Linked DNA regions of Diceros bicornis minor. The protein of the gene in region 2 purifies or fractionates together with the protein of the main gene of each other region. This does not show direct contact. Links are inferred from orthologs where the notes say so. Each region holds a gene or a part of one and is shown on either strand. Other genes may lie near its edges.

Region 1 (3,749 bases), on a different chromosome or scaffold from region 2:
AAATGATCTGCATCTTGATCTTCCTCAAATAAAGGTCAAACTGGGAGAAAGAGTTCAATTATGTTCCGTTATTTTCATATAGCAAGGAAGTATATGACTCATTTTTTTAACTTTTCTAAAACAGATTAAAATTATTTCTGGCTCTTAATAGCCTACACCTTGGCTATTTAAAATCTGGTCTCTCAAGATGACTCACTCCCCAATATCTCTGGATAGTAGAGTGTTTTCTGTAGCCTTAGGACCTGCTTAGTACGAAAGTTTGAGAAGAATAAAACTGCAGAAGTTTAACGTGCAAGATATATGGTAGAAAAGAGACGCTTTTACAAGAAACAAAACTGCAAAACTTATTTAAATAATTTCTTTGCACTTAAAAAATCTGACTTGTAGTTCAAATTATTATTACATTCTTCACAGATTAAGTTGTCCATTATTTTCTGGGATGGAATAAAAACCAATGAAAAAATCAAAACAGTCAACATAAAAATTAGAGAGGGAGAATTTTAACACATAGGTGTCATTTTGTAGGATCCTAGCTCCCACCAAAAAAACAAAGAACACTTGATGATAAAATGTTTTACAAATCTAGGAAATGTATTCACATACAATCTAGATGTCCTTTTTCAGTATTCCTCACTTTTGAAATCTCACCTACTTTCATAACTAGGCAGATGACTTCAGATTATGCTTCCCATCCCAGGCAGGCTCCAATGCCACATTTCCATCTGTCAGCTGGGCGCTCTGACTTAAATATACCACTATCACCTCAAAAGCGACATGTCTGAAATATTCTATCTTCCACCTTCATCTCAAATCTTTTACTTTTCTACTTCTCTTCATGCTACCACCAATTCTCCTTGTATCTGGGTTTTTCCTCTTACCTTCATTCCTCAACTTGCATTCATCAATCCTGTTTTATGCTTTTTCGAAATCTTTCACATCTATACCTTCCTTTTCTAGCTCAAACCCTTCTCCCAACCAAACTGGTTTTCTGACTCTTTTGAATAAGCCTTAAGCTCTGACCTTTCCACTTTTTCTTACATTCCTCCCCCTATGGAAACACCTGACCATTACCACCCCAATCTAAATTCTACCCATTCTTCAAGATAATTAAGGTAATCCCACCTTCTTCAACTAGCCTTTGCTGACCACCCTATTCTGAAAAGATTTCCTCTGCCTCTGAATTCCTACAGCATTGTTTATAGTTAAGCATTCATTTGACAATTTAATCAAGTGGTGACTTATGACAGCTCTTTAATTGAGATCAGATCATAACTATTTATTTATACCTCACACTGAGTAGCGCCCAGTCCTGCACAAGGAAGTCACTCATAAATACTTATTTTTGGATGGCTAATATACTAACTGAAATTACATACTTCCATGGAGATTTGCTTTAAAAGGGAAACCTGAAAAGAGAGCGTTGGGGCGATAACAAACTGTCATTAACTTGTCATCAGTCCTTGCTTTACATGGCCAAAATCAGGCCAAGAAAGAAATGTCTCATCCTCATCACTGGCATAGAAGGAAAAGAATCTTAATCACAAATTCCATTTATTTTCTTAATAGCCATTCCTAAAAGTTTGCAAAACTGATTTGTGGCGTTATCTGCCTCCCACTCCCATAAGCATAGGAATACTCAAAATCACCCCTGATGCTGGGCTCTTCTTAGTCCTGAAAAGTTCAGAGAGATGCCGTAAACCGGACAGCTCCCAAGTCAGCCCCCGCAGGAGCACCGCTGTGAAGCGCTGACTGACAGGCTGACTTCGATGCTGAGGTTACGAAGTTCTAAGCCAGCCAAGAGCAGGTACACATCTACCGTCGGGCCGGACAACACACCCGTGTTGAGAAGTAAGGGTTGTAAAGGTGAAAAATAAGGAAAGAAGTCGGTGGTCTGGGAAAGGAGGCATTTCCAGGGTCTCCCAGACAAGCTGCGGGGCATCCCCCGCGTCGGTCGCTAGCCCCGAGCACTGCCCGGAGGCCCCAAGGGCGGGTCCGACGGCGAGCAGGACGGCGCAGCGTCCCGGGGCTGGGCGAGCCCAGGCCCGCGCTCCGCCCCGCCCCGCCCCGCCCCGCCCCGCCGCCGGGGACCCGCCCGCAGCCAGGCAGCGCCCCGCGACCGGTCCCGGCGCCGCCGAGGGCCGGGAGCCAGTCTCCGCCCCTTCCCTCTCTCCCCGCCCCGCTCTCCCAGCAGGACGCAGCTGCCCGGCGTGCGGAGAGCGGCCTGTCGCGCGCCGGGCGCGAGGGCTCGGGTCCCAGCCCCGCTGGGTCGCGCACCTGAGCTGTCTCCATCCTCGGAGACCGACGAGCTCTCCGTGTCCTCGTCCTCCGAGCTGCTCCCCTCGTTTTCGGCGTAGTCCACCTCCATCTCATCGTGATGGTTCGTCTCCTTCTTATCCCCTCGGGAGTGGACTGGCATTTTCCAGCCGCGCCGCCGCTTCCCACTCCCGGCGCCCAGCCCGGCCACCGCCGCTTCAATGAAGGGCGCGCCGGACGCCCCGACCCACCCAGCGGCCGAGCTCGGTCTGAACCCCCTCGACTCCTCCCCGCCCCCGGCCCGAGCCTCACAACCTAACCCGCAGGCTCTGGGCTGGGAGCTCTGCCATTGGTGGAAGCCGTCCTCCGAGCCGGGGGGCGGAGCTTGCCCTGCTCGGATACGGTTGGTTGCCCGTAATTACAGCGCGGCCTTGCGGTGGGTGTCGGGAGTTGTAGTCCTTACTGCTCAGACCTGCAGGGGCTGCCTGTTTCCAAGCCTCAACAACCCTGATCACTTCTTCCCTCTGGACTTCAAGTCCCACAAGGCACAAAAGCTGACAGATTTGATCGCACTTTATAAACTAAACAGAAACAGATTGTGCGATTTTGGTCTGTATTTATTCTTTTCCCGCCAAGTGATTGTCTGAGCTCCCTGGCTCTCCAAGATGTTACTGTCAGAGGTGAAAAGTTTTCTTGCGTGAGGATTTTTCCTCCTCTTTGAGCCTGGGGGAACTGGAGAAACGTCTCTTCTACCTAACCACCTTTATTACTACTAATAAACTATTATATTGAACTGCAGACGATAAGTGGCACTTTCTATGCTGCACAAAAATCTTTAAATTGTTCTTGAAACTTTTGCAATTGATAATATAGAAAGGATGGAAGTTTTATCTTGGCATTTTCATTTAGTATTTTTTGCATTTATTTTTTACCACATGCAACCTAAAGATGCTACCAGTCTTGATTAACTTCAGTTATCAATGAAAACACATATTTGACTTAATGAAATGTTATATTTTCTCAATGATAGGGATGACAGACAATGAAGATTCAATAACTATCATAAACATAATAACTCATATTAATTGACCACTTTTACTTTGTATCAGGTACCCTGGTAAGCTCCTTACATAGGTTATATTGAGTTTAATTCTCAATTTAATAACCCTGAGGTAGGTGCTATTATTATCCCCATTTTACAGATGAGGAAACTTCATTTGCAGACAAATCTAAAAACTGTATTTTATCCATTATAAAGACAGGGCTTCTTCTTGAAGTGGCAATTTGCTACTGAAAGATATTTCATAGAATATTGTGAATTGTACAGCATTTCTTTCTCAAACACAAGGTCCAAAGACATTTGATGGAGGATGGTAAGGGTATCCAGCCATAACTGCATTAAAGTTAGATTTAGAATTTAATGATGGAAAGCATTTCAAGGGCTATGCATCTTCTACAGGGTAAAATCCAAAGTAAGGGGCTTGTGTTATCTAGCG
Region 2 (3,749 bases):
ACGAAAACGTAATTCAAAAGAGCGTCGGGCCGTTGGCGGCCTGTGCCAGCACAGGCCGCAGGTTTAGCCTAACAGGGAGGCCCGGCGGCTTCTGCAGTCAGAAAACGCCCGCGGCCTCTGCAAAAAGTCCCCTTTGCCTCCGACAAACCCCACCTCGGCTCGACCGAGCCCCACGAAAGGCCAGTCGGCTGGTGGAAGACCTTTCAAGGTGCACAGAATTGCATGCTCGTGATTATTGGGTAGACTTTGCGGGCACAGTAATCTCTCCAGACTAGAAACCATTTTCCTTTCTGGCTCTGAGATTTTGCTTGGCTAAGCGGAGGCAGCCTCCCTGCCCCCCTCCCACCCCCACCGCCACGGCCGCTGCAAGCAGCCACGCCCCACGGCCCCGGGGCTCGCCTCCGCGAGGCTCGCAGCCCCCGTGCAGCCCGCACGCCGCGCCTCCATTCGCCCCACCCCCAGCGCACCCCCATCCGCCCCCGCGGCCGGCCCTGGGAGCGCCGGGCGAGCCCTCGCGCCTGCGCCTCGCCAACTTCCTGCCGCGGAACGCCCTGCGCACCCCCAGAAGCCCGCCTCCGAACGCCGCGTGAAACCTGCTTGCCGCACGTCATTGGTCGAGGCGATGAAGCCGTTGGCTCCCAGGTCCGCCTCTCCACCGCCTCTCGCTTTTCCCAGGGCGGATGCGCCTGCGCTCAGCTGCCTGGGCGGGCTGAGAGGCGCGGGTTGAAAAGTCTCGTTCCAAGTTTGGAGAGAGAGAGAGAAGAGCGCCTCAGACCTCGGTACCCGCGAGCGGGGAGGAGGCAGGAGAGAAGGACGCGGCGTCTGGGGAGCACCCAGGCTGTGAGCCGGAGCTCACGCTTCGAGAGCTAGAAGTGTGTGACGCGCCTGGGAAAGGCAGGAGCGCCTGCGGTTGGGCTGCTCTTGGCTAGCGAGGGGAGTCTGAGGCGGCGGCGAGGGGCGAACGACCCGACGCAAGATGGCGAGTAAAGAGAGTAAGAGGCCCTGCGGGGCGGCGCACGCCGGGGCCGCGGGGGGCGGCGGGCGCGCGAGGCCGCGGCACGCGCCGGCGAAAGGCGCGAATTGGCGTGAGGAGCAGGGGGCGGGGCCGGGCGCGAGGCTGGGCGCGCGCCTCGAGGGCCTACGCGGGACGGGGCCGCGGCGCTGAGGGCTTTGAGCACTTCCGGAGCCGGGCGCGGGGCCGCGGGGTGGGCCCCCTTCCCTCTCTCCCCTCGGACCCCCCCTCCCGGCGGCGGCGCTCCCTCCCGCGCCCTCGGTCCCGGGTGGAGGCGGTCTCCGCCGCCGGAAAGCGGGCACGGCGGCTTCTTCCACGCGCGCGCGTCGACCGCCTCGGGGTCGCGGCCCTTGTCCGGGGGATTCTGGAACCCGCCGGCCTATGGCTGCCGACACCGGTTTCGTGGGAGCGGAGGCCTCTCCTGGTGGGGGTTGGAGGGAGCGGGCCGATGGGGTTTTGCTACACGTGGATTCGTCTCCCGGGGCGGGTCGTGGAGCTCCTCTACATACGGGTCGTCATCTTAGAACAGGTGCGAACAGCAGTAACCAGCAAGACAGTTTCCGTGTCCGTGTAATTAATTACTCCGTTCTGAATACGCAGGCGGTATTGATCTCAAACTGCAAAAAATAAGCTTTCTGGTGTTAATATTCTCTCCACATTCTGGAAGAGCAGTTGTTCGCGTCCAAATTAGAGGTTAAAGGCAAAGAGTAGATTAGGTGTGGCCGTCTCGAGGTGATCTCCAGTATCTGTGTATCGATTCTGATTTTGATCCCTCTCAGCCGCTTAATCGTATGGGCTTTCTCCAAATTTCAGTGTTTGAAGATACTGTGGAGGAGCGTGTCATCAATGAAGAATATAAAATCTGGAAGAAGAATACACCGTTTCTGTATGACCTGGTTATGACACATGCTCTGCAGTGGCCGAGTCTTACCGTTCAGTGGCTTCCTGAAGTGACTAAGTAAGAGTGTCTGGCAACTTTTATTTTGCACGAATTTAACTCTTGTCCTGAATTTCCTAATTTTGGCATTTTATACATAGAACAGAAAAATGTAATCAATTTAGCCCTTGGATGAGGTGGCAGGTGATTTTTATTTTCAAAATTTAAGTGGTTTATGGGATGATTTCTGACGTATAAGTGTGGCGTTAAAAGGGGAGAAAGAATCTGCTGTGAGATTAATTGTATTTGTAGGAAGCGCTGGATATGTTTGACATTTCTTGGGTTTAAATATAGAGCGGTGTCTCTTTGGGCTTCAGACTAATGGATTTCTTTAAAATTTTATTGAAAAATAGCATATGTACAGAAAAGTGCACAAATCATAAGCCTATGGCTTGATGAATTTTTACGGTGAACTATGTAACCATGAACCCATGTAACCAGCCCCCAAGATGAGTATGTTTTAATTGGCAAAGGGGAAAAGAATTTAGCAACAGCTCACCAAAGAAAAGGTGTTGTTATTGGCTTATAGTATGAAATACAGTTTGAGATTGCTGTTGGTCTTCATACGAGTGTTCTTTTCAGCTATTTCTAAAACGTCTCTGGTAGTAATTGCTAACATTTGAGCACTTAGAACGGGGCCTGGCACACCTGAAAAGTTCTACATGCTGTTATTGGGTTTAATACAACAGCACTAGGATTACTTTTTATCATCCTTGTTTTACTGATGTGGACATTGGGACTGAGATGTTAAGTAACATGTCCAAGATTACACAGCTGGTAAGTGGTAGATCAGGTTTTTGAACCCAAACCGGATGGCCCCAGAGTCGAGGTATCCCCTGCACTAGGTTACCTTTCTTATATACTTGCACTTTTTCTAGTAGGAATTTGGCTATGTACTTTACAAGTGTATTAAATTTGGGTATTGTGAGCATATAATTTAATGAAGATTAATCAAACTCTAATCTAGAAAGGGGATTTTGCGACGTTATAAAAATAAGAGTTAGTTTATATAAAATTACTCATATAACAGCCACATTCTCCATATGCCGTCATTGACTTCCATACAGATAGGGGCTTCCCTTGGGGTTCCCAAAAATCTCAACATAAATACACAGATGTGGGAAGAGTAGCCAAGAACTAAATAATGGAGAGGTCTAAGCGTTGATAAAACAACTTTGAGCATCGAATACTTAAGGGTATCCAGGTTCTGGTTTAGAGCATCTTGTGCATTTTACTCTTTGTGTTTTCCTGTTAAGCAGATTTAAAACTTTAACAACTTAATTTACATTCTCTTGGATGTTTCTGACCTACTGTAACAGTAGAAAAGAGCGGGGGCTTTAAGGTTAGAGACCTGAGTTTGAATTCTGCCCCTTGCTTCTTAGTAGCTTTGTGAATTCGAGCAAGCTGGTCAGTCTCTATCAGACGGAGTTGTCTGGTATGTAAATTGAGGTGCTGATGGTACTGACTGCTTGCATTTGAGGGAATTAAATAAGATCGTGCATGTGAAAGTGCTGGTGCAGAGTAAGTACACAGTAAGTGGTGACTGATGCTGATTTTTACACCCCTTTTGTTCAGAAATAATTTGTTAGATAGGATGGAATAACTGTGTTTTTCCATTTGGATTTCAATGAAAGCTGCTTACTGAAGTCTTTTTAAAATGTTACCTATAATGTGTTTTGCATAAAGATTTTAAAGATAATAGAGCTATATGTTCTCAGCCCAGATATTGCTTTTATGTTAACGCTTAGAAACTTAACAGAAAATACTTTAACTAAATTATGTATGCCATGGTGTTCTTTG

Evidence for each region. Proteins that work in one complex are often made in the same cells at the same time.
Region 1: the proteins of RBBP7 (region 2) and BRMS1L purify together in Homo sapiens (affinity purification with mass spectrometry; 4 studies listed by BioGRID and IntAct, counting the BioPlex papers as one, with this or other methods). This does not show direct contact. The link is inferred for Diceros bicornis minor from reciprocal best matches to the Homo sapiens genes RBBP7 and BRMS1L.

The regions. Positions count from the first base shown.
Region 1 is NC_080744.1:13,663,367-13,667,115, forward strand, and holds the start of BRMS1L (breast cancer metastasis-suppressor 1-like protein), read right to left. Parts: upstream 2,495-3,749; 5' UTR 2,417-2,494; coding exon 2,275-2,416; intron 1-2,274. UniProt on the Homo sapiens protein: Involved in the histone deacetylase (HDAC1)-dependent transcriptional repression activity. When overexpressed in lung cancer cell line that lacks p53/TP53 expression, inhibits cell growth.
Region 2 is NC_080781.1:13,856,414-13,860,162, reverse strand, and holds the start of RBBP7 (histone-binding protein RBBP7), read left to right. Parts: upstream 1-1,378; 5' UTR 1,379-1,393; coding exon 1,394-1,541; intron 1,542-1,825; coding exon 1,826-1,970; intron 1,971-3,749. UniProt on the Homo sapiens protein: Core histone-binding subunit that may target chromatin remodeling factors, histone acetyltransferases and histone deacetylases to their histone substrates in a manner that is regulated by nucleosomal DNA.